7 linked regions of the Kluyveromyces lactis genome follow. The protein of the gene in region 1 purifies or fractionates together with the protein of each later gene. This does not show direct contact. Links are inferred from orthologs where the notes say so. Each region holds a gene or a part of one and is shown in the gene's direction. Other genes may lie near its edges.

Region 1 (4,242 bases):
GGCAGAAAGGAGACAGAAGAGGATCGAGGAAATCCAAATGTTGTTTCAATAGACTATCATGACATTCAATCATATAGAAGCCTTTTAGGGCTTTGCATTTAAGCTGTTATTTAATTCGTTAATCATCAAGTAGTAGATATTCATCTTTGATCATAAATCCATGGGATACCTTGTTGCGTCTTGCCCATGAACGGATGATATTGAGTCTTATTTCAGAATCACTTAAACAATCAAGATATTTGAGAGCTTGAATTATATCATTGATTCTAAAACCAGTGGCCTCGGAAAGATCCTTCAAAGTGACCTGGGCCACATCTTTCAAATTACCTTCAGTCAACTGCCAAACTATTGAGAAAGACCAAAATTTAAGATAGCCAATTAAACCGAAAGGAGATAGAGGAACTTCAGGACCCGAAATCAGACCCTGACATCTTGATAAAGTGTAGGAAAACTCAATCAAGAGAGTACCCAATCTTCTTCTTTGATAGGGCGGAAAGACAAGAATACATGCAAGGTTATTTTGGTGGTAGGAATATAAGTCTTTTGAAAAAAATGCCATCGGTACTGTAGAATTGTTCTCATACACAATATAGAATTCGAAATGCTTAACTTTGAAGTAGACAGACTTGTTATCAAGAAATAGCTTAGTAAATAGACATAAGCATTGGCAGAAAACTTCATGCTTAGAACCTTTTACCCTTCGTATAGTGTATTCGGGGCTTCTGTATTTTATTCTACCGGGTGGCTTATTCTTATATCGGCAAAAGCACTCATGTGCGATTAACTCTGCTTCATCATCAGTGTACTTGAAACAATATTCACATACGTATAGGGTATCAATCCAATACTGATCTTCAAACTTCTTTTCAGTAGGGCTTTGTTTTGCGGTGTGCTCATTGTTCGATTCCTTGAAGCCCAAGGTCCTCTTATTTCTTCCAAAATAAACATTACTCCCGTACCAAGTTGCAAATCTTTTATTCAAGCCAAATTGGACGTGCCTAATATTAGGCTTGTCAAGAATACCATATATTTCTTCATCCTCTGTTGAGCTGTTGTGCTTATCAGGTTTGGGAACCATTCATTAATGATTTGAAAAGAGGCAAAAAATGCGATTTATCACGTTTCCCAAATTTAATGAGTACTTGAAAACCCAATTAACGGTGGAATCAACTGCTCTTTGAACTTAAATGTACAAAAGATTGCCTATATCTTTGAATTATCAAAACGTTGAAAGCGACTTTCTTTTTTTTTTTTTCATCTTCCTTTATGGCAGAAAAAGCTTTAAAGCTCATCGCATCTCATCGCATCCAAGCTCACCTGCATCTATATATCAAAATCTCGTTGATAACAGGCTGGTAGTCTGAATGTTATAGGCCTCTGTGACATTAACAGTCAAGAGAAGTACCTCGCACGTTAAACGGTCAAAAAATTGAACAACAAACATGGGTACCTATAGGAAGCGCTGGAATGAGAAAGCACGCGCGGGTCAGATGTCTAAGTTGAAGGAGTTGAAGAGAGTAAGGAATAGGCAGTTCACCCGTGCACTTGAAAATTCTTCCGATGCTGATTCTGAAGAAGGTAATTCATCTGAAGATGAACATCATGAATCACCCGATCATCAGGAAGATACGAACGCTGCTGTATTGAAACCCATGACGGAGGAAGAGAAACAAGAGAAAAAGCGTAAATTGGAAGAGCTATTCACACCTAAGGAAACGAAGGTCTCTAGGACGAAGAAAAAAAGGTTAGAGAAGTTCATCGAGCATCAATTGAAAAGAGAGGAGAAAAAAGTTTTGATAGAAAAACTTCAGGACTATAAAATTGATACTAAGCTTTTGACAAGTTCTAAGATTTTGGGACAAGGAAGGCAAACTAAGAGGCAAGGGATTGAAGAAGCCCTCAAATTAGAAAGAAATGGACGTGGTGATGAAACTACCAGGGAAATTCTTTACGATGAAACTGAGGTAAGGGATTGGTATCAAGATCATCCAGAAACTAGGCCCAGTCAGGAAAGCACAGCTGAAAATTGCAATTCGGATAGTGATGAAACGGACCATACCAGTTCAGATCACCCTATTTCGGCAAATACTGGGGGATTTATTGATAATAGACCCAGTAAATTTGGTGGGTCAGGTTTTGGTTTTGGATTCGGTAATGCAAAGGTGGTGAATAAAAGGGCCTCGAAGAAAAGGTATAACTGGAAGCAAAAGGTAGAGCAAGAAGAACGTAGAAGGCGTAAACTGGATGATGATCAGGATTTTGAATCTGACGAAAGTGAATCAGAAGAACATTCATCCACTGCAGAAAGTGAACCTGATGAGAGTGAATCTAATAGTAATGCTGATAGTCACAGCGATGATGAGTCGAGTGAGTCTGACGGCGAGGAAAGATCGGATTCAGAAATAGCGCAGTGCAGAAACGTAAGTTCTTCAGTTGCCCAAGAATTTAAAGAGTGGGCAAATCAGGAAATTAAAAAGCTTGAAGGTAGAGATGTAGAAATGGTTATGCCTTCCTCCAACATCAAGGTCGATAGGACCGAGAGACCTGAAGACTTTGAAGATGGACTCAAAGCAGATGAATTTAATGTGAACGAAAATTCAACACGTAAGGCTTTTTATGTCAAGGTACGGAGATCTGATGCTGTTCAAGCTGTGAGAAGCGCACTACCTGTTTTCGCCGAGGAACATAGAATTATGGAAGCTATCCATCATAATGACGTTGTAATCATTTGTGGTGAAACTGGTTCAGGTAAAACGACACAGGTACCGCAGTTTCTTTACGAGGCAGGATATGGTAATTCGTCCTCAACTGACACGCCTGGGATGATTGGAATAACACAACCTAGAAGAGTGGCCGCTGTCTCTATGGCTGGACGTGTTACTAATGAGATGGGTGATCATGGCGAATATGTAGGATACCAAATTCGGTTCGATTCTTCTACCAAGGATAAAACAAGAATGAAATTTATGACTGATGGTGTTTTGCTAAGAGAGATGATGAACGATTTTAGACTTTCTAAATACTCTTCTATCATTATCGATGAAGCTCACGAGAGGAACATCAATACAGATATTTTGATTGGTATGTTAAGTCGTTGTGTCAGCTTACGTGCTAAGGAGCATGCAACTGATCCGGCTAAGTACAAAAAACTTAAACTAATTATCATGTCTGCCACCTTGAGAGTATCAGATTTTAGTGAAAACCCTACTTTATTCCCTGTTTCTCCACCTGTCTTAAAGGTCGACGCCAGGCAGTATCCAGTGGCTGTACATTTCAATCGTAGAACAGCTTATAACTATGCTGAAGAGGCTTTCAGGAAGACGTGTAAAATACATCAAAGGTTGCCTCCTGGTGCTATCTTGGTTTTTATGACAGGACAGCAAGAGATCACGCACATGGTAAAAAGGTTAAGAAAAGAGTTTCCTTTCCCCAAGAAACATCAAACTCTCATTCAAAATGACCACATACCTACAGTGAAAATAGATGCCAAAACTGCAGATGTAGAAGCTGAAGATATCGACTTCAGTGTCAGAGTTAGAGAGGAACAAGAATTTGACGATTGTTTACTCTCTGATGAGGAAGATATTGAGGACAAAGAAGAGGACGAAGAAGAAGGTTTTGAAGAAACACTTGAAGAAGGTCAGACGGATAGAGATCCACTATATGTTCTTCCTCTTTACTCGCTATTGCCCACCAAAGAGCAAATGAAGGTCTTCCTTGATCCCCCACCAAACTCCAGATTATGTGTTGTTGCTACTAATGTGGCAGAAACATCATTGACCATACCGGGAGTAAGATACGTCGTTGATTGTGGTAGATCAAAGGAAAGAAAGTTTGATGAAAATAATGGTGTTCAGAGTTTCGAAATTGACTGGATTAGCAAAGCTTCTGCTGGCCAAAGAAGTGGTAGAGCAGGGCGTACAGGGCCTGGTCATTGTTATCGTTTATACTCCTCTGCAGTTTTCGAAAGAGATTTTGAGCAGTTTTCTAAGCCTGAAATTTTAAGAATGCCTGTGGAGAGTATAGTTTTGCAAATGAAGAGCATGGCTGTTCATAATATTGTGAATTTTCCATTCCCTACCCCACCCGAAAGACCAGCTTTGATGAAGTCAATAAAGCTCTTACAACACCTAGGTGCACTCGACAGTAATGAAAGAATCACTGATGATGGTAAAGCAATGAGTTTGTTTCCGCTAAGTCCAAGATTTTCTAAAATGCTGCTTGTTGGTAATGAAAGCGACT
Region 2 (2,738 bases), on another chromosome or scaffold:
CGTCTGATGAAAAAATATCCGCCAGTTCTGATTTGGACAATAGTCATGGTACTCGAAGTGCAAGTTTCACAATTTCACCACAACAGAGAGATTTTTCTTTTGGTTCCATAGAGCAAAAGTTAAACGAGCTGACAATGGAATCTGATCAAGAAGATCAACTAGAAAAACCATTGGTGCAGAATAAGGCAACTAAATCTAGTCTTGAAGATTCAGATAATGAAGACAACGAATTAATCTCAGATATCATGGAATTTGCAAGTATAATAGACTTTGGACAAGATATCGAGTTAAATTTTGATCTCTATTCTGACAATCGTTCACACTATGAAACTCTAAATCCGGTCAAAGAATCTGTGAAAAACTCTCTATCCAAGCCCAGCTTCAATACTGAGACAGAAAACTCATTTCTTGTGGAACTTACTAACTCCCCAGAAATTAAGACAAACAGTTCAGTACTCAACCAAAAACAGACTGGTTTGGATGATCAGAAACACATATCAAGTACTATAAAAACAAGAGACACATCACCAGAAAATGTTAGCAGTAGCAACCAAAACACTTTTTCTGATAGCAGTTTATATTTTGATAATTATGATGAGGAAGATTTTGAGAACGAAGATTTTAATGGCATACATGCAGTAAAAGAATCCCCAAAGATCAACGCATTTTTACCAGATATCACAACATCGATGAGCAGGCCTATATCGATGTCTTTTAGGGGTTTGAAAGCGCCACAATTCAACAGTACCATGGAACTTTCAGGGCTTACGGGACTTGAACATATCTCAGATCAGATGTCGAAGAAATCGGAAGAAAGATCTAGCTATGCAGCAAAACTTGTTAAGTTTTCCTCTCAAATAGTCCTTTATGAGACCTATGGTGAACTTGAGTATGATAGGCATCCTGATTCGGCAACATGCAATCAACTTACTCCTCAATTGGCCCAAATGATAAAGGACGAGCTGAATGAGCTTAAAGCAGAAATGGACATTCACGAAGATTCTATGTGCAACACTCACTTCTTTTAGTAGACCTATAAATACATGTAATCATAGTAGTTAAATCATTTACCATGCGTTTCTATGTTTCCCTTTATATGGATTCAAATCGTGCACGTAGCTTTCGTGTTGAGCCCGCTTTGAAAGCTTTGGTAATATTACCCTACTATTTGAAAATAATTCTAACTTGTCTTCAACATCTCCCAAATTTTGAAAATTGTTTCACTCATTATGAAAATGATAAAAAAAGAGCTGCTTTATGCGATGAGCTAACAGTAATACCAAACTAGCTTAAATATGGCCTGTAAGATAATAAGAGTGTTTGATAACAGTAAGGTTTGTCTATATGCATCGTTATAAAATGAAGCCTTTTAAAAATTTCCCCCAGACTGTTATACCCGGTGATCTTATATGTCCAATATTTGATGTTGATGATGATAACAAGCAAGAAGTGGTAATACGCTTCCTAACGGGCACTGGCTGTAAACAGGAGAATTTTAGAGTTAACGGCAAGAACGTTGATATTATCGTAGCCACATTAAAAGGTTCTGTATCTGTGGAAGAAGTTCCAGCAGATATTATCGAAGACGACGATCAAGAAGACTCAGAGAATACGACGTTTGTAGAATCTCATGAGACCACCGGAGGGGATGCAAGCTCTGGCAATAGTAGAGTTATAAAAAGTTTCAAAGTATCAGTATCAAATCCTAGCAAGTTTGCTAGCAAGTATGTTGATGACCAGTTTGTCAATAACCTTCCGCAAGAGGGCGATATCGTACTGGCGAGGGTGACCAGAATCAGTTTGCAAAGAATAACAGTTGAGATTTTAGCAGTTGAGAATTCGCCCTTGCCGATCGACTCTGGTGTCGGAAGCAATGGGACTGGCATAATTGCTGCTGCTGGTGGATCTGGTGCGTCTACGTTTTCCGTTTCGCAAGTGTCCGCGGATTTGGGAGAAACTTTTAGGGGCATAATTAGATCCCAAGATGTAAGGGCCACTGATAGAGATAGAGTAAAAGTTATGGAAAGTTTTAAACCTGGGGATATAATACGTGCTCAAGTGCTCTCACTTGGCGATGGTACCCATTACTATTTAACTACAGCAAGGAATGACTTGGGCGTGGTGTTCGCTAAGTCTTCTAACGGAGCTGGAGAACAGATGTATGCAATTGATTGGCAGACAATGATTTCACCAAAGACCGGAGTCGCTGAGAAACGAAAATGTGCAAAGCCCTTCTAATATAGTCGGAACACAACAAGCTTTTTGTTCAAGTCTATAGGTACCTTCACATACATACATTTACAACTTTCATTTACATTTACATTAGTTTCGTATTAGGCTTCACGCATATTGGGAATATTGAGGAAGTTTCTACTAAGATCATTGTGAATTCAACGCCTGAATATCATATGTTATTATCAGAAAAGTTAGTTGGACTTTTAGTTGATTGGGAATTTCAACTCATCGTGGTCACCTCTTAAATCATATTCACTCAGTCCAACTTTTTTTCCGAACTTCTCAAATCTTTGTAGATAATGCTTTCTCTTCTTCTCTGCAATTTGAGTTAGGACAGGCCAATAGGCTTCATGATTATATTTGAAGTCGAGGTTACCACCATAAAGCGTCTCGAGTTGATCAGGTGGCACATAATTTGGAAATGGTTCATCAAAAACCAATTTTTCACGAGTCAACGGATCAATAAAAGGATGGATGAGCTTCAAAAAGGTCCACGCAAGCCA
Region 3 (4,046 bases), on another chromosome or scaffold:
TCGCAAGTAGGCCAGTTTTCAATGCTTTCATCCAATATAACTTTATCGCCAAAAATTATAGTCTCAAACTCACCGTGTTCAATTAGTCTGTTTAAGATATGTCTGCATGGCTTGGATAACACTTTCGCATCCATGGCACAAACACCAATTTTACCAATCTTTGGTAGCTGAGGCTTGGACGAGGAAGTTGAAGCTTTCCTCGAAGAATTTGTCGAACTTGGAGTTGTTGATCCGTCAGTGTTGGTTGTGACAGCTTCATTAGAGACTAATGCTTGCGGAATGAAGGGGAATGCATGAGGTTCTTCCAGCATAGGAGATGGACTAGGCGATCCTTCCAGAATAGCAGAAACTGATGCTGATCCACTTTGGTTACTTTTCAGTCTTTGAAGCTTGTTACCATTCATGCTATCGAATGAGGTGCCTAGGACACTGGGAGTCATATGACGACCTGTCGAACCAGTAGAAGAAATACTAAGCGTTCTGACGAGCTTATTTGTCTCATCATCATCATCAGAGGTAAAACCAGCAGGTGGCAACTTCAACGACTTATTCTCACTAGAAGAGGTCTTCGGCGTGAACCCTTCAAGGATAGGAGCGATCGATTCCATAGCCTTTTTCGTATTCGAATCTAAAAACAGTGGAGGCATGGTATTTCCGTTGATTGCCTCTTGACCCTCATCAGAAATTGAACCTGGAGAAGACATGACTGGCAGTTCTGCAATTTGATTATAACCAATGCTGAAACTTCAGTTAAAATTATTTTGTAGATCGTTGCAATTAATCGATTTCTGTTATAAGCGGATGCATGGTACGATTATTCCCCATGTGTTTAATTTTGTATATAAATTTATATGTGAAGGATAATAGTGAAAACTTGATAGAAAACTGTGAGTAATTCTGAAGTAAAGACCAGTATCTAAGCAACACCTCCATGTGTTTCGCTAGTGAGATTTCAGACTGTGGTATGGTTACTATCTAATGGCATCTAATGGTGAAGTTACATAGTATCTTCTCTATCCAAGTCTAAGAATCACATTTGCAGGTTGATCCCCCTTATGTGTCACGTGATATTCTGATTTCTTTTTCTGTTTCAGCGATGAAAATTTCGAAGCTCGACGTTTTAAAGAAGCGATGAGATGAGATGAGATGAGATAGATACCTATCGTCAGCAGCTAATTACTGGATTCGCTTGTTGTTCAGTTAATTAAGCGATTGCATAAAGTCACAGAACAGTGCATTAGCAATCATGACAGTGGATGGATCGTTAAAGAAACGAAGAGTTGGTTCTTCCGGCGCTGTTAGGAAACATGCTTCCAGAATATTTTCTCCGTATAGAATTGTAGGTAATGTATCTACTGGAGTTCCTTATGCGATTGGTACCCTAGGTACGACCTTCTACATTGTGACTTCTGTTGGTAAGTCGTTTCAGATCTTTGATGCCAATAATTTGCATCTGCTATTCGTTTCAGATAAGGAGACAGAGGGAGACATTACTTGTTTGGCAGCGCATTTTCATTACGTTTATGCAAGTTTTAAGAATAAAGTTGGGATCTATAAGAGAGGTAAGCTAGAACATTTGATTGAATTACCTGATCCAAATACCGTGGTGACCAAAATTAACGTTTTCGGTGAATATTTGATTGCTTCTACAGATAATAATGTTGTTTATATCTATAAGAAAAATTCCCCATCTGATAAATTCGCTACTGAATTATACACCAATTTCACCATTGGTAAGTTACAAGGTGGTGATATTGTTGATTTGGTGCATTTACCAACATATGTTAACAAGTTGCTCGTTGTGACTAAGTCTAATTTCACCTTGTTTAACGTTCGGACCGGAAAACAATTGTACACTTCCGATGAGTTCCCCGATGAGATCACCACTGCTGAACCTGCACCTGCTTTAGACATCGTTGCCTTTGGTACATCATCTGGTGAAGTTATTTTATTCAATTTGCGTAAGGGTAAGAAAATCAGAACCATTAAAACGCCGACGAGAATTTCTTCAATCTCTTTCAGAACGGATGGTGCTTCTCATATCTCAGTAGCATCAACCAGTGGTGATTTGATCTTTTATGACTTAGATCATCGCTCACGTGTTCAAGTGTTAAAAGGCATTCACAAGGAAGTGAATGGTGGTGTTGCAAGAGCATCATTCTTGAACGGTCAGCCGATCGTTGTCACTTGTGGTGGTGACAACCAGTTAAAAGAGTTTGTTTTCGATCCATCCTTATCGCAAGGTGACTCTGAAGTGGTCATTCAACCAGCCAGATTATTAAGGTCAAGAGGTGGTCACTCTCAACCTCCATCCTCTATTGCATTTGCTGACGATCAATCTCATTTCATTCTTTCTGCTTCAAAAGATAGATCTTTATGGGGGTTTTCCTTAAGAAAAGATGCACAATCGCAGGAATTATCGCAGCGTCTGCATAAGAATAAAGATGGAAATAGGATTGGTGGAAGCACCATTGGTGAGAAGTTCCCTGAGATTACATCAATAGTCATCGAAAATAACAGACAAGGCCAATGGGAAAACATCTTGACGGTTCATAAAGGGGAAAAGTTTGCAAGAACATGGAACTCGAGAACAAAAAGAGTTGGTAGGTGGACAATCCCAACTAATGATGAGGGGTTTGCGAAGAGCGTAGCTATATCACAATGTGGTAACTTTGGTTTAGTTGGCTCTTCAAACGGTGGTATTAGTGTTCACAACTTACAAAGTGGACAGAAGAGAAAGGTTTATCGTTTACATAAGAAGGCAGTTACTGGTATTGCAATGGATGGTATGAACAGAAAGATGGTGTCATGTGGGTTAGATGGTATTGTCGGATTTTATGACTTTTCCAAAAGCACTTTTTTGGGAAAGTTAAAGTTGGATTCACCTATAACATCAATGGTATACCATCGATCATCTGACCTCTTCGCATTAGCATTAGATGACCTTTCCATTGTTGTCGTAGATTCGGTTACTCAAAAAGTGGTCCGTCAACTCTGGGGGCATTCCAATAGAATTTCATCATTTGACTTCTCACCTGATGGACGTTGGATCGTTTCTTCGTCATTAGATTCCACAATTAGAACCTGGGATTTACCAACAGGTGGATGTATAGACGGTATGAAAGTGGAAAATGTCATCACTAACATTAAATTCTCACCAAATGGTGACTTATTGGCTACCACTAGTGTATCTGGTAATGGTATTTCCCTCTGGGCTAATAGAGCTCAGTTCATTTCAGTATCAACCAGACAGATCGACGAAGAAGAATTTGCCACTGTTATGCTTCCAAACGTTTCCGGAGATGGTGGTTCCAACTTTTTGGAAGGGGCTTTTGATACAGAGGAAGATGATTCCGAAGATCTCTTTGGTAAATATGACTCGATGGAGCAAATTGATAAAGATTTATTGACTCTTTCTTTGGGACCAAGGAACAAGATGAATATCTTACTCAATCTCGATATAATTAAACAACGTTCGAAACCAAAGGAGGCTCCAGTTAAACCAGAGCAGGCTCCATTCTTCTTACAACTTGCAAAAGATAAGGTGGGCGATGAGGCTTCAGCCAGGGAAGGCGCTGAGAATTTGAGTTTGGATTCCTCTAAACTACAACAGGAGCGAAATGCTGCCAAAGCTAATGCTGCTAGTGAACTGAATAAATTCAAACCTTCAGGAAAACTTGGTGCTCAGTTCGAATCTGATTTCACTAAGCTACTTAGAGAAGGTTCGCAGAAAAACGATTATTCAGCATTCCTTGACGAATTAGTCCAGATGACTCCCTCAAATATTGATTTGGAGATTCGTTCTTTGAAAGCTTTTCAACCATTTGATGAGCTATGTCGGTTCATTGAAAGTTTGGCTCAAGGTTTGGCTACCAACAAGAACTTTGAGTTATATGAGGCATATATTACCATCTTATTCAGAGTGCATGGTGATGTAATTCATTCTAATAACACAAATCAAAATATCAAGACTGCTCTGCAACATTGGGATACCAATCACCGCAAGGGCCAATCATTGGATGAATTGGTAAAATTCTGCGGCAGCG
Region 4 (2,277 bases), about 1.2 Mb from region 1:
CATCCGGTATATTTATATCTTTACTCAAAAGCTGTAAGCTTACCATTTGCTCCTTCAACAACTTTTCGTCCCACTGAATATCTTTGGCTGCGTTTTCTCTTAACCTCAGCAGCCTTTCCTTGTACTCTTCCTGTTTATCCGAGATTTGGGTGAAAATTTGTTCAATAGCCTCAACTTCAAGCTTATTATGATCTCTATATTGAGAAATGTATCTGTAACGATAAATCAAATTTTCTAATTGTTCTTTCGTTTCAGGTAGTGGCAAGATTACTCTTTCCACCTTCTTCATTTCTTCTAGAACAGCGGCAATCTGGTTCTGTCCAATAGCACTACCACTGTCGTTCCGAAAATTGTTGTTGCTTCCTTTGTCAGCACCAACATGGTTGTCTTCGATATTGCCGTTAACGTCCTGGTTTTCAGTTTCGGAATTCCCATTATCAACATTCTCAGAATTCACTATAGGAAGCGGATAAGGAGGCGCTGTATCCGCGTTATTCGTTACGACGACTTGATCCATTGTTGTTTTATTTCACACTTCTTAACGTGATCCAGGTCTCTTCCCGCTAGTGAGCTTTAAACCTTTTTTATTCTGAAAGGGGGTAAAACAATAACTGAAGTCCTGCTAAAAAAATTCAGAGTTGTCACAAAGCTAACGCGATACAAACAGGTACTATTGCCCTAGAATTCTTTACTGTTTCGCTTTCGGTGCGTCTATTTTTTTAGCCGCCGTTGCCGTGTTGAAAACAAACCTCTGTTCGTCCTTTTCTCGTGTCAAAACTAAATTCAGAATAAAATCAAACTGTTTTCAAATTCATCCTCTTTTTCACAATTTTATTTATCGTGTTTACTTTTTTCTTTGACATTCACTATTGCCATGGGCCAAAGTACGGGTAACAACAACAAGAACCGGGTAATAAACCAACTTCGATCACGTGCCAAAATATTCGCATTAAAGTGGGCACCATTGTTTCTTTTCTTGTTTAATATTTCATGACCTAAAATGAAAATTTGGATAATACGCCATGGATGAGATGAGATGAGATTAGATGAGATGTGATGAGAGTGAACTATCAAGTTCCCCGATTGAGATAGTTACAGTGCTTCGAACTGTTACAAAAGTGTCTTCTGTATTGACAATCAAGGTTTGAAGAACTAAAATTCTCTGATTATAATGTCATCTCTTGCAGCTGCTCATGCTACCAACGCTGTGAACGCATTGTTGCAAAGCGTACTGCCGGGTTCTGCGTCGGTTAATGCAGAAAGAAAGAAAACAAGCCGAGACAAAGGCTCGAAAGCACAACTAATAGATAGGAACTTGAAGAAAAGAGTAGAGGTACAAGAAAAGGATGTATACCGGATCAAAAAGAGGGAGAAGAAAATGTTGAGAAAGAAGATATCTGGAAGAAAAGAAGTCCAAGAGGATATAGAACAGAAGGCTAAGCTACAAGTACTAAGAAAGCATCAAGTAGATAATTCTCTTACGGATCATGAGAAATCCTATTTGGATAAAGTGGTGAAGAAAAATGTTCGCAACCTGAAAAGTTGGGATTATGACGATAAGGAAGAACTGTTAGATTTACAGAAACAAATACTTGCCAACTCAGAAGATTCAAAGAAGGTAAGGAAGGTAAAATCTAGGAGACAAAAGAAGAAACAGTTCAAGGAGAAGCTACCACAATCGATACAAGACCACAGATATAAAGCTCTCACACCTGGATTGGCTCCAGTTGGTGCGAGCGATGAGGAGGAATCAGAAGACGAAGATGAAGATTATTGAGCTCATATTTACAAAGACGTACAGGTACGGAGTTTTCATTGCGGCTCATACAAAGGTGTGTTTTTTTCTCTCAGCATATGATCAAATACTCAGTAGACTCAAGTGTTCATTGTCGGTTCATATATATTAATTAAGTATATTCATTATTTGAAGGAAGTAGAACTACTCAAATGGTACCTGTCCTAATTCCAAATATGCCTGTTTTGTGTCTATGCATTGTTTGCGCACTCTACGCTTCGAGTCATCTAAACCAATTTGAAGTTTTGATATAATTTCATTCTTCATGGGGATCAAGTAGTTAAGGGGAACACTGGTTGTTAAAGTCTGAAGAATTTCTAATGACAGAAATCTTACGTTCACGTTACTATATTTCGATGGGACCAATAAGTTAAGTAACAGCGGAACTAACGAATGGACATGTTCAGTAACCAACTGAGACATTTGATTCACAGTATTTTTTAGTGTCTCTAGAGATGATATTCTGACTTCGATATTCTCTA
Region 5 (3,584 bases), on another chromosome or scaffold:
ACTTACAGATAGTTCTGAGATCATTTCTTTGGTTAAGTTGTTCCATAATTTCCAATTGATCCATTACAAGCAATGTGTCAAGAGCTTAGAAGAAGATCTAGAAGTCCTTAACTCACTAGATTCTGAAGACAAATGAAGAAATCCACCTCTATATATCGTTAAAATAAAATAATTATTCATAATCAATCGTAAATATCTCATATGTAAATGCCCAATATACCTATTTTCCCATGCCTATTTGAACTCGCTATTCAATTTTGCATTAAACCGTTTATTCTTGTCATTAATAAATCCATCATCCAAATTGATCTTATTTTGTTTATCTAGTTTTTGTTTCCGTACCATATACCTTTTCTTTGATCGTTCGTTCAAATCATTCACCATTTTTTCTACTAGTTCAGGATTATCTTCTACTTGAACCTTCCCATCCTCAGTTATTCCACCTTTCAACGGATGTGATATATCCTTCGGAAGCGCATCTACTTCCTTCTTGTAGCTGTTCTTTGCTATAGTTTGGAAGTCCCCCATCACGCTTTTATTATGTCTTGAATTCTGTGTCTTAGCTTCCCATTTTTCATATTCGCGTATTGAGTAGTTTGCCAATTTTATCGGATCTTCTGGTTCGCTTTTGTTACTTCTAGCTTTATCTTCGCCATCGTCAGCCATACTGTATACTCTTCTTTCAGAGTTTTTCTTCTCTTCAGCTATTATGGCCTTCTTATTCCTTATACTTACTTCCACTTTTTGTTTCCGCAAACTCTTCAACTTTTTTTCAATTTCCATTAGATCATTCATCTTCGAATATTTATTATCAGCCTGTGTCCAGTTTACAATGTGATTTGTGGCATTCAAATAAGGGCTACACTTTCTGTCACCTGGAAGATATCTGAGTATATTCATCGCATCTCATCTTGTTTCTGTTTGCATTTCGACACTATATATTACCCGGACTGACTCCCAAAAGTAAAGTTTGAAAAATTTGAAGTACTCAGAAGAAGAGATGAGATGCGATGAGATGCGATGAGCTGTAAGTGCAAAGATACACTCAACCGCTGCTCTTGAAAGGACGAGGTGAAGTATCAAATATCCTGTGTTCAATACAGTTTGCTTTGATATTATTTATCGAAAGATATTGAGAAAATGGCATCCATCTCACAGCCTTTTAGGCTCTCTGCTCTACCTAAGATTCCATCATTGAATAATTATGCGAATCAAACAGACTACTTACAAGTTGTTGATAATCTTTCACCATCAGCCAATAAAGTGAATATTGGTATATCAGGTTCCAGTATATCACAATACTTGATTAATCCAACCCCGAAGCTGGTTTTTAACTTGCCAATCCCCTCTACGAACATTGTTACTGCATGTGACGTGGTAGAAGATGCAGCCAATACAGAAGTCTGGTGTTACGGATTGGAAGCTAGAAAGGTATCACATTTACACTTGGCTACTAAGCCGATGATTCAAGATGCCGTGTCATCTTCAAATGCTGAAATCACATCTCAGTTCAAATATAAACTAAAATCTGAAGTCGTTAGCATTAAGATCTATTCTAAAGCAGAGAAAGTTCTCGTTATCTTAAGGAATGGACTGATTCAAACATTTGATTATGAATTGAAACTTTCAAATACTATTGATATATCTTATGATGATATCAGATTTGTTCAATTCTTCCAAGATGGGCAGGGAAACGATTTCTTTTTCGTGTTATGCCAACTAAGTGATGAGAAAATCTGTTACAAACTTTTCCAAGTTAGGAGTGAGTCCGTCTCATGTATTGAACTAAATTCTATCATACTAGAAAATTACACTTTAGAGAATGCAAAGTTGTGTTTTGAGTTCGGGAAATTATATGTTTTAAAGAACTCAAATGAATTATCAATCTATCAGTTACCACATTTGCAACTACAAACTAGCATTCAGCTACCTTTCATTTCCAAGGATGCAGTTGTATCCATCAAACCAGTTTCTTCAAACCGTGTATTGTTGACTGCTGATAATACCATATATCTTGTGGATTTGTTATACAATGCTATACTATTCCAAAAGGATTTACAGAACATCAAAGCTATTCAACTACTCTCTACTGCAGTTGTTCAAGAAAACTCTGAAGACAATAGAAAAACTATAGCATTAGATGTTACAACTAAAAACGGTGCTAACCCTACGAGTTACTTGGATGTTATTAACATTGATGTTGGTACCGGTACCTTAAAAGATGCGATGGGTAAAGGGTTCATGGTTAAACAAAAGCAGAAACTACAGAAACTCTTTGAAGAAAGCAATGAGGACGACGATGTGGAATTGCCATCTCCAGACTATGAACGCATTATAAAACAACTCCATATCTGTAAAAAAATAGAGAACTTTGATTCTATATTTTTTAAGATGCTTTCCTTAGACAAGGAATATTATACAGACAATGACAGATTTTTAAATGATTCTGATTTACTCACTCAAATAATCGATTGCTTGTTTCTAAATTTCAAGGATGAATATCCAAAAGCATTGACATACCTTCTAACACACCCTTTATTCCCACCGGTTCACGCTAAGGGCTTATTAACCAAGTTGAAAAATAACCCAAGACTTTTCAAACAAGCTATTGTTACTTGTCCGAATGTTCCACTTGACGATTTGTTAACCGAGCTTTTCAATATAACGAATGCAGAGCTCTGTTTTGATATTACGCTAAGAGTGCTACAAGATTACAAGAAAGAATCAATCAAAGCAGGTATAAGAAAAATTGAGAAGATGGATATCACAAACTTTTTGGATATGATTTTGAACTCGAATAAGGCAGATTCGGACTTGAAACTTAATAAGCCACAAATCTTCCAACTTATGAGTTTAATAATAGATTCCATCGGTTTGTTTGCGTTAGACGATGAATATTTAGAGAAACTTTCCTCTTTTGTCGATGCGCAGGTTTCTGTAGTGTCACAAAACATAGAACTTTTGCATTTGGCAGAGCATTACACCAAGCATTCATCGGTTGTTAACAATAAATCTAATTCATCAACAAATTCGTCTTCTACACAACCTATTTCAGCTTACACAGTGGACTATTTAGAATGCTAATAAGTGTGTAGTATAATCATAAACATTAGAACTTTTCGTAAAATGATTTCATCAGCTTTCCATATTGAACTGGAACTGAATTACCTCTTTTGGATCCATGAAAGAGTATGTTTCACAATCCTCATCACTTTCATAAATCACATGCTCCTCGTACGTAACTCTGTTATCTTTGTCGACAAGTATGACAATCTGGGATCTAGTTCCATAGTAATCGCCTATTGGCAATGAAGTTCCAATAGCGTCTGCACCTTTAGTAATTCTTAAAGGCGGTACATAAATACTGGAAGTCGTCACAGAATCCACATCTTCGCCCTCATTAAACGTATGGTTTGATAAAAGTTCAAAACATTTCTGCAATAGTTCTTCCTTGGCAATGCCCGTAGTATTTTTCGCCAACGCATCAAGTAAAACGTACCCATATTCCGTCTTATTCCATCTACTTGTGTGTTCACCTACAGCACAGTGGAAAATGTCGTTGGATATCACCATATGCTCCATCT
Region 6 (3,526 bases), on another chromosome or scaffold:
AATTTGTTTCCCTGAGAGCTTCTGCGCTGTCAACAGATTGGAAATCTTGTTGAAGTTGAAGCAAACGCAGTTTTTCTTTTAACTGCTGTTCCTTCTCGTTCACTATGTCATTTAAAGTACCATCCGATTGTTCTGGTTCTAGCTTCACAGGTCCTGGTGTTGGTTCCCTGGTCTGCAAAGTTGACATGGATTCCTGGACAACTTTCTGTAGAGAATCCACCTTTTCGTGATTGATACGAACTGCCCTGACAGGGAAAAGATTGGCCAATTGTTTAGAGGCTCTGGTCTCTTCACTCATGGCTGCATCAGTATTAGAATCCTCATCTTCATCAAACAGATCGTCAGTTTCCTTCTTGAAGTCTGCCTCTGTATACTCTTTCCCCATGTTAATTCTCTTCCCAGCTTTTGAATCTTCTGCGTCCGATCCCTCTGCTTCATCATCAGAAACAGCTTTCAAACCGCGTTGCACAAGACTGCTTTGAGAACCCTCCGTCTTAATGAATCCATTATTCCCTTTATTAGATCCTCCAGAGAAATTACCAGCTGCCAATGGGCCTGATGTGATAATTCTTGTGTTGTTTAAATACTTCGGCTGCCTCTTCTGGTTGCCCTGTGGTTTCTGTGTATATTTCTTCTTCTCAACCTGTTTATTCGGCTCTTCTACCTTCAGAACGTTAGCATCTCGTTCCTCCTTAGATTTACGAGCTACCACTTTGGGCTTAAACTTCAGCGAGGTTCCGGTTGATGGTTTCCCCTGGTTCAATCCAGGTAAACGTCCACTCATCTTTAGTTGATTCCTATCACAATTTGATGCAAATAACTTCTTGACTCAAGCGTTTAATACTGCGATTCTCGACCGTTTCTTCGTTCAACAGCAAATCCTAATATGAAAACGAAGACTAGTTACTGGATACTAACCCTTGCATTGACTATTTGCGCATCAACTTTGCTCATCTCATTGTGATCTCTTCCAGTAGTAGTGCAGCTTTCAATTTTGGTGAAAAATCTTGAAAAAGCAATGTTGGAAAATTTTGTTTAAAGTTAAAGCTCATCTCATCTCATCTCAATTCAGAGAATAGGTATAACTAAGAGAATGACAAGCTGCATAACAGGTAACTACTATCAGCCGCTGTAATCGACTGTATATTGAGTTGGACTTAAATTGTACTGGACATTGTACTTCAAATATGGCAAAGAGAGGTGCAAAGGTCTCAAAAAGAGGGTCTAATCGTAGACAAGACCAGGAAGAAGATGTTGCCTATGGCATGAATGAGGTCGATGACTTTGCAAACAAGAGAGAAAAAGTGCTACTTGAGGACGCAGGTCTTGATCAAAGGGAACCAGAAGATGATTTTGATCTTTCAGTGGATGAAGAAGAAGAAGTGATGGGAATGTCAGATGAAGATAGTGAGGATGAAAGTGAAGAAGTTGAAGATGATGAAAGTGAACAAGAAGAATTAACAGGTGAAGCTGTGTATAAGAAGGTTTTTGGTAGGAAATTAGACGTTGGTGAGAATGCAGAAGAAGAGAGTGGTACTATGCTGGACAATGAGAACGCATGGGGTGCTTCTAAGGCAGAATACTACGGTGCCGATGACTTGGACGATGAAGAGACTGCAAGAGAGATAGAAAAGGAAGCTTTGCGCCAACAGAAGAAACATTTGGAAGACCTTCATATGGAAGACTATCTTGAGGATGAAGTTGATGAAGAATGGGTAAAAGAAGCTAAGGAATTCGATTTAGGTCAATTTAAAGATCAAAAGGATCAAGAACGTCCTACTGAAATCTCCCTTAGGGATGTTCTCAACATGGACTTAGAGAGAAAGGAAGGTTTCTTGAAGACATCCTTCCCAGAATACCTTCCTTTATCAAAGGAATTCAGTAAATTATCACCCGTTTTAGACGAGCTGAAACTCAAACAAACTGAGGAGAATAATGAATTGATTCAGATCAAAATTATGGCATTATCTTCATATCTTGGAACAATTAGTTCATATTTTGCAGTTTTCTTATATGAATTACAGAATAACGAAGATTTCATTTCTATGAAAGATCATCCGGTAATGGAGCGTATTTTGGAGTGTAAAGAAATTTGGAGACAAGCTAGCGAACTACCGGACACAGAAGCAATACGCTTTGAGCAAGACTCTGACGCTGAAGAAAATATTTCGGATATTGGTGAACTTGATGAAGAACTATTACAAGAACAGGATGAACTGGACAGTGAAGCAAGTGCCAGTGACGATGAGGCAGAAGATGAGAATGAGGACGAGGAGGGTGATATGGAAAGCGAAGAAGAAGAAAACTTTGATATCGAACTTTCGAACAGAGCTGCAAACAAAGTTCAGAAAGACAGGATATTACAAGACGTTGATGACTTTGTTGAAGATGAGATTGCAGATGTTGATGTCCAAGAAAAGAAAACAAGGAAGAAGACGTTACGTTTCTACACTTCCAAAATCGATCAAAAGGCTAGTAAGAAGACTGATAGATTCAAAGGTGATGACGATATTCCCTACAAAGAAAGACTTTACGAAAGACAACAGAGGCTACTTGAAGAAGCTAGAAAACGTGGCTTGCATGATAAAAATGCGGCAGATCTTAATACGGATGATATCAACTCGGATGATGAAAAGACTGCCAAAGACATTAAACGTGATGCCGAGAATGAATATTACAAGAGCATCAGGGCTGATAGACAACACAAGAAAGATTCCCGTCTTCAAGCACACAAAGAGGTGGCGAAAGCTGCTAAGGAAGGAAAATTGGCTGAATTGGCCGAACACATTACAGAAGATGGTAAACGTGCAATCAACTATCAAATTCTAAAGAATAAGGGTCTAACACCAAGAAGGAAGAAGGACAACAGAAATTCGCGTGTCAAAAAGAGAAAGAAGTACGAAAAAGCTCAAAAGAAGCTCAAATCTGTGCGTGCTGTCTACTCTGGTGGTCAATCTGGTGCGTATGAAGGTGAAAAGACTGGTATTAAGAAGAATCTAACGAAGTCTGTGAAATTTAAAAATTAGTACTAGATGATATTTAGTGTATCTATATACTCCATGCATTAAAAAAAAACTCGCATTATTCATTCGTGTAATATTTTGCTTTCTGAGTACTCACGAATTAGCAGCTTTGTCCAGCATCCAATATTCTTTGTAGTTTTCTCCGTATTGCATGCTGTATCTTGTCAGAATGGATGGACTCAAGATCAAGATCCCATGCTACAAACTCTTTCGCAATATCCTGGTCAATTCTAAATTGGTTCAATTCTTCGATAGTTAGTTTGCTGTAGTTCTTAGCAATGTCAAATCCATCTGCTATCTGAGTTGTAAGTTCTTGTGCTCTTTGGACAATGCTCTGCCTTAAGCCACAGTTTTTGGCACAGAATATACCAAAAGAGTTCGTGGCAATTCCGGTGCTCAATTTGTACAAAAAGGTAATCATTTCATCTCTGGCATTTCCTTTATTTTCCTTTTCCATCACCTGCAATAAAATCTCGGTTTTATAGAATACTACACCATTAATT
Region 7 (4,282 bases), about 670 kb from region 1:
CTATCAAATTTTTTCATCTTGGATTCGTTTCTCACGTTCGATGCATCTCTTATAATCTGGTGCTTCGGCAAATTTGCAGGTGCAATAACATGTATTGGAGGAGCAAATTGAGGGCCTTTATCTCGCTTTGCAGTGTGTTGAACTAGGTTAATCAATTTATCATCTTCCAAACACTTGGCGGCTAATTTGGTAGCGAAGTATTTGATCTCCACACCGTTATCTAAATGATACGCTTGTTTCATGAACTCGATATGATCAGTCCCCGGTGTGTCAAATGAAGTTACCACGGTGAAATAATTTCTTTTATAACCAATCCAATCGTCATCTATGAAATCAAACCCTCGATCAATCCGAGGCTCCAATTTGATTTCTTGAATCTGTCCAAAATCGTTCAATATCTTGTGATTGGGCACCACTGGCGTAAAGCCTGGGCCTATTTTGAACTGCAATGTTGACCTTGGAGCAATACGAACTTTTCTCTTGTCAAAATGACTACTTAATGACCCGTCAGCGTTCCTAAAAGTTTTGATCACGTCCCCGTCAGCATTATCAAGTGTTTCCAAAAATTCGTTCTCATCTATATTGATATTCTCATCGTTCAGATGGTCCAAATCCTCCATCATAGCAAGTTTGATCACATAAAACTATACTCTGTTCCTATTAAAAGAAAATATAGTTAGCTCTCACTCTCCTCCTGGCTATTGCTATGGAATAACCGCCGAGCTTACCTGAATGACCACGAAAAAATAAAACCAAAATAAAACCTAGGAATCGTACGTTCCGTATAAGAGATAACCACAACTGCGCTTGTTCAGGTAAAGAAACAACCTTATAATCGAACCTCGTTCTGATGTCAGTTCTTAACCTCTTATCTTATTCATCGGATCTATTTCATAAGAATATTGCCCTTATTCCTTGTGACACAAAAATACTGGTATTTATATAATGTTAGTTTTTCCCTTTTCGTCAGTCATGAAGAAAACTTTAATTAATACCCATGAAAACTACTACTGAAGTTTAAATATGAATTTAAAATATTAGTCGACATCACATAATGGTGCATTATGCACACGTAGTCATTTCTTGAAATTAGCCGCCGAAATTACACTGCGCATGAAATTCATGCGGGTAACAGTATATTTTCATCAAATAATTCCGGGTAAGTAGTATCTTTTCTTTTCTCTGCCTAATTTTTTTTTTTTTTTTTCATTGTCTTTTTACTATTTCATCGTATTAGGTAGGAATTTTATTTCGAGATGAGATGAGATCAAATGAGATGAGGTGGTTTGCTGAGAAGCTATCTGAGTATTACGAGACGTTTATTTCTCCCCAAAATACCTGATTACTGTACTTCGTTACTACAAAAAAAATCATTAAAAACACTAACTCTTCCCAACGGTCGAACTTCCAGCGAAACGTAACTGTCATTGTTTGTTGTTAAAGAGTGTGTTCTTAAAACTTTAAACCAGAAGTTAGATTACGATGGGTAAAAAAGCTATTGATTCTCGTATCCCAGCTCTCATCAGAAATGGTGTTCAAACAAATCAGAGATCATTTTTCGTTATCGTTGGTGACAATGCTCGTAACCAGCTACCGAACTTGCACTATTTAATGATGAGTGCTGACCTCAAAATGAATAAATCCGTGTTATGGACGTATAAGAAGAAACTCTTGGGTTTCACTTCACACAGGAAGAAGAGAGAAGCAAAGATTAAGAAAGAGATCAAGAGAGGTACCAGAGAGATAAATGAACAAGATCCTTTTGAAACTTTCATCTCTAACCAAAACATTCGATACTGTTATTATAAGGAAACTGAAAAAATTTTGGGTAACACTTATGGTATGTGTATCCTACAAGATTTTGAAGCTTTGACTCCAAATTTGCTAGCAAGAACCATCGAAACCGTTGAAGGTGGTGGTATCATTGTTATCATGTTAAAGTCCATTTCCTCTCTAAAACAGTTATACACTATGACTATGGATATCCACTCTCGTTATAGAACGGAAGCTCATGACGATGTCGTGGCAAGATTCAACGAAAGATTTATCTTGTCCTTGGGTTCGAATGAAAACTGTTTGGTAGTAGATAGTGAGTTAAACGTTTTACCTATATCTGGAGGAAAAAACGTAAAACCACTTCCACCAAAGGATGATGAAGAAATTTCACCAAAAAATCAAGAACTAAAAGAATTGAAAGTGTCTTTAGAAGATGTTCAGCCTGCGGGATCATTAGTTGCTCTTTCAAAAACGGTTAATCAAGCTCATGCAATCTTGACCTTCATTGATGCCATTTCAGAGAAAACTTTAAATTCAACTGTAGCATTGACGGCAGGTAGAGGTAGAGGTAAATCAGCTGCTCTAGGTATTTCTATTGCTGCTGCTGTATCCCATGGTTACTCCAATATCTTTGTAACATCTCCTTCCCCTGAGAATTTGAAGACTTTATTTGAGTTTATTTTCAAAGGATTTGACGCTCTAGGCTATCAGGAGCACATTGATTATGATATCATTCAGTCCACCAATCCAAGCTTCAACAAAGCCATAGTCAGAGTAGACATCAAGAGAGAACATAGACAGACCATTCAATATATTATTCCAAATGATTCTCATGTGTTGGGACAGGCAGAACTTGTTGTCATTGATGAAGCTGCCGCAATTCCACTACCACTTGTAAAGAAGCTTTTGGGTCCGTACTTAGTGTTTATGGCATCCACTATTAACGGTTATGAAGGTACCGGTAGATCTTTGTCTTTGAAATTGATTCAACAGCTAAGAACTCAATCCAACGGTACTGGCCGTGAAGATTCCGAAACAGCACTTGTTTCCAGAGATTCAAAGAAACAAGAAGTTCAAACAAGTGGCCGTTCTTTGAGAGAAGTTGTCTTAGATGAACCTATCAGATACGCTCCTGGTGACCCAGTTGAAAAATGGTTGAATAAATTACTTTGTTTGGACGTTCAACTAATCAAAAATCCAAGATTTGCTGCTAGAGGCACACCTCATCCATCTCAATGTAATTTATTCATCGTCAATAGAGATACTCTATTTTCTTATCATCCTGTTTCTGAAAATTTTCTGGAGAAGATGATGGCTCTTTATGTCGCATCGCATTACAAGAATTCTCCTAACGACTTGCAATTAATGAGTGATGCACCTGCTCATCAACTATTCGTTTTATTGCCTCCCATCGATCCAAAAGATGGCGGCAGAATACCTGATCCCTTAGTGGTCATCCAGGTCGCATTGGAAGGTGAGATCTCGAAGGATTCTGTCAGAAATTCTTTGGCAAGAGGTCAAAGAGCTGGTGGTGACTTAATTCCATGGCTAATCTCACAGCAATTTCAAGATGAAGAATTTGCCGGTTTGAGTGGTGCCCGTGTTGTTAGGATTGCAACCAATCCGGAATACGCCTCTATGGGTTATGGGTCTAGGGCTCTGGAGTTATTGAAAGATCATTTCGAAGGTAAATTCACCGATTTGAATGAAGATACGGTACAAAAGGACTACACAATCAAGAGAGTCGATGACAGGGATTTGAAGAAAGCAGACCTCTTGAAAGATGAAATCAAATTAAGGGATGCAAAGACGTTGCCACCATTGCTTCTGAAACTCTCAGAACAAACCCCTCACTTTTTGCATTACTTAGGTGTTTCATATGGTTTAACAAAATCTTTACATAAGTTCTGGAAAAACAACGGATTTGTCCCAGTTTACTTACGTCAAACAGCGAATGATTTGACTGGTGAACATACATGTGTTATGGTTAAAGTTCTTGAAGGTCGTGAATCAAAATGGCTGGCAGAATTTGCCAAAGATTTCCATAAAAGATTCTTGTCTTTATTATCGTTCGACTTTAAGAAATTCACTGCCATCGAAGCGTTAAATGTCATTGAATCTGCTAAGAAGGGTGAAACACTAGACCAAGACTCGGAGGGCAGATCGTTCCAGAATAAGGTTTTAACAAGGGACCAATTGGATTCCATCTTTTCTCCATTCGATCTAAAGAGGTTAGAAAGCTATGCTAACAACTTACTGGATTATCATGTCATTGTTGATCTTCTACCAATGATGGCATTGCTATACTTTAGTGGAAAGCTGGGTGACGGTGTATCATTATCAAGCGTACAATCGTGTATACTACTTGCAATTGGTTTGCAACACAAGGGCATTGATGACATAACGAAAGAGTTGAACTTACCATCCAATCAAACTATTGCCATGTTCTCCAAGATTATCAGGAAATTCACCAATTTCTTCAGGGAAGTTTTAAGCGAGTCTATTG

The links.
Region 2: the proteins of ECM16 (region 1) and CSL4 purify together in Saccharomyces cerevisiae (affinity purification with mass spectrometry; 3 studies listed by BioGRID). This does not show direct contact. The link is inferred for Kluyveromyces lactis from reciprocal best matches to the Saccharomyces cerevisiae genes ECM16 and CSL4.
Region 3: the proteins of ECM16 (region 1) and UTP21 purify together in Saccharomyces cerevisiae (affinity purification with mass spectrometry; 5 studies listed by BioGRID). This does not show direct contact. The link is inferred for Kluyveromyces lactis from reciprocal best matches to the Saccharomyces cerevisiae genes ECM16 and UTP21.
Region 4: the proteins of ECM16 (region 1) and RRT14 purify together in Saccharomyces cerevisiae (affinity purification with mass spectrometry; 3 studies listed by BioGRID). This does not show direct contact. The link is inferred for Kluyveromyces lactis from reciprocal best matches to the Saccharomyces cerevisiae genes ECM16 and RRT14.
Region 5: the proteins of ECM16 (region 1) and UTP8 purify together in Saccharomyces cerevisiae (affinity purification with mass spectrometry; 3 studies listed by BioGRID). This does not show direct contact. The link is inferred for Kluyveromyces lactis from reciprocal best matches to the Saccharomyces cerevisiae genes ECM16 and UTP8.
Region 6: the proteins of ECM16 (region 1) and SAS10 purify together in Saccharomyces cerevisiae (affinity purification with mass spectrometry, with the first as the bait; 4 studies listed by BioGRID). This does not show direct contact. The link is inferred for Kluyveromyces lactis from reciprocal best matches to the Saccharomyces cerevisiae genes ECM16 and SAS10.
Region 7: the proteins of ECM16 (region 1) and KRE33 purify together in Saccharomyces cerevisiae (affinity purification with mass spectrometry; 7 studies listed by BioGRID). This does not show direct contact. The link is inferred for Kluyveromyces lactis from reciprocal best matches to the Saccharomyces cerevisiae genes ECM16 and KRE33.

What each region holds. Positions count from the first base shown.
Region 1 is NC_006042.1:1,597,097-1,601,338, reverse strand, and holds the start of ECM16 (ATP-dependent RNA helicase ECM16), read left to right. Parts: upstream 1-1,442; coding exon 1,443-4,242. Other genes in the region: DNA helicase RAD5, read left to right, coding at 1-52; SAS2 (histone acetyltransferase), read right to left, coding at 119-1,078. UniProt on the Saccharomyces cerevisiae protein: Probable ATP-binding RNA helicase. Required for 18S rRNA synthesis. May play a role in restructuring of the pre-rRNA.
Region 2 is NC_006040.1:1,659,619-1,662,356, reverse strand, and holds CSL4 (exosome non-catalytic core subunit CSL4), read left to right. Parts: upstream 1-1,344; coding exon 1,345-2,238; downstream 2,239-2,738. Other genes in the region: BNI4 (Bni4p), read left to right, coding at 1-1,028.
Region 3 is NC_006038.1:253,201-257,246, forward strand, and holds the start of UTP21 (rRNA-processing protein UTP21), read left to right. Parts: upstream 1-1,246; coding exon 1,247-4,046. Other genes in the region: inositol polyphosphate kinase VIP1, read right to left, coding at 1-704. UniProt on the Saccharomyces cerevisiae protein: Involved in nucleolar processing of pre-18S ribosomal RNA and ribosome assembly.
Region 4 is NC_006042.1:439,167-441,443, forward strand, and holds RRT14 (Rrt14p), read left to right. Parts: upstream 1-1,171; coding exon 1,172-1,777; downstream 1,778-2,277. Other genes in the region: RSC chromatin remodeling complex ATPase subunit STH1, read right to left, coding at 1-517; MET18 (Met18p), read right to left, coding at 1,940-2,277. UniProt on the Saccharomyces cerevisiae protein: Involved in ribosome biogenesis, probably through modulation of rDNA transcription.
Region 5 is NC_006041.1:413,043-416,626, forward strand, and holds UTP8 (Utp8p), read left to right. Parts: upstream 1-1,140; coding exon 1,141-3,084; downstream 3,085-3,584. Other genes in the region: KLLA0_E04621g (uncharacterized protein), read left to right, coding at 1-136; SYF2 (Syf2p), read right to left, coding at 235-900; KLLA0_E04687g (uncharacterized protein), read right to left, coding at 3,136-3,584. UniProt on the Saccharomyces cerevisiae protein: Involved in nucleolar processing of pre-18S ribosomal RNA. Also has a role in nuclear tRNA export. It acts between the steps of tRNA maturation/aminoacylation and its subsequent translocation out of the nucleus.
Region 6 is NC_006039.1:1,433,878-1,437,403, forward strand, and holds SAS10 (rRNA-processing protein SAS10), read left to right. Parts: upstream 1-1,187; coding exon 1,188-3,026; downstream 3,027-3,526. Other genes in the region: RPC53 (DNA-directed RNA polymerase III subunit C53), read right to left, coding at 1-784; MutS family protein MSH5, read right to left, coding at 3,124-3,526. UniProt on the Saccharomyces cerevisiae protein: Primarily required at the G2/M phase. Essential for viability: involved in nucleolar processing of pre-18S ribosomal RNA as part of the ribosomal small subunit (SSU) processome.
Region 7 is NC_006042.1:2,272,077-2,276,358, reverse strand, and holds the start of KRE33 (ribosome biosynthesis protein KRE33), read left to right. Parts: upstream 1-1,482; coding exon 1,483-4,282. Other genes in the region: transcription factor NDT80, read right to left, coding at 1-623. UniProt on the Saccharomyces cerevisiae protein: RNA cytidine acetyltransferase with specificity toward both 18S rRNA and tRNAs. Catalyzes the formation of N(4)-acetylcytidine (ac4C) at positions 1280 and 1773 in 18S rRNA.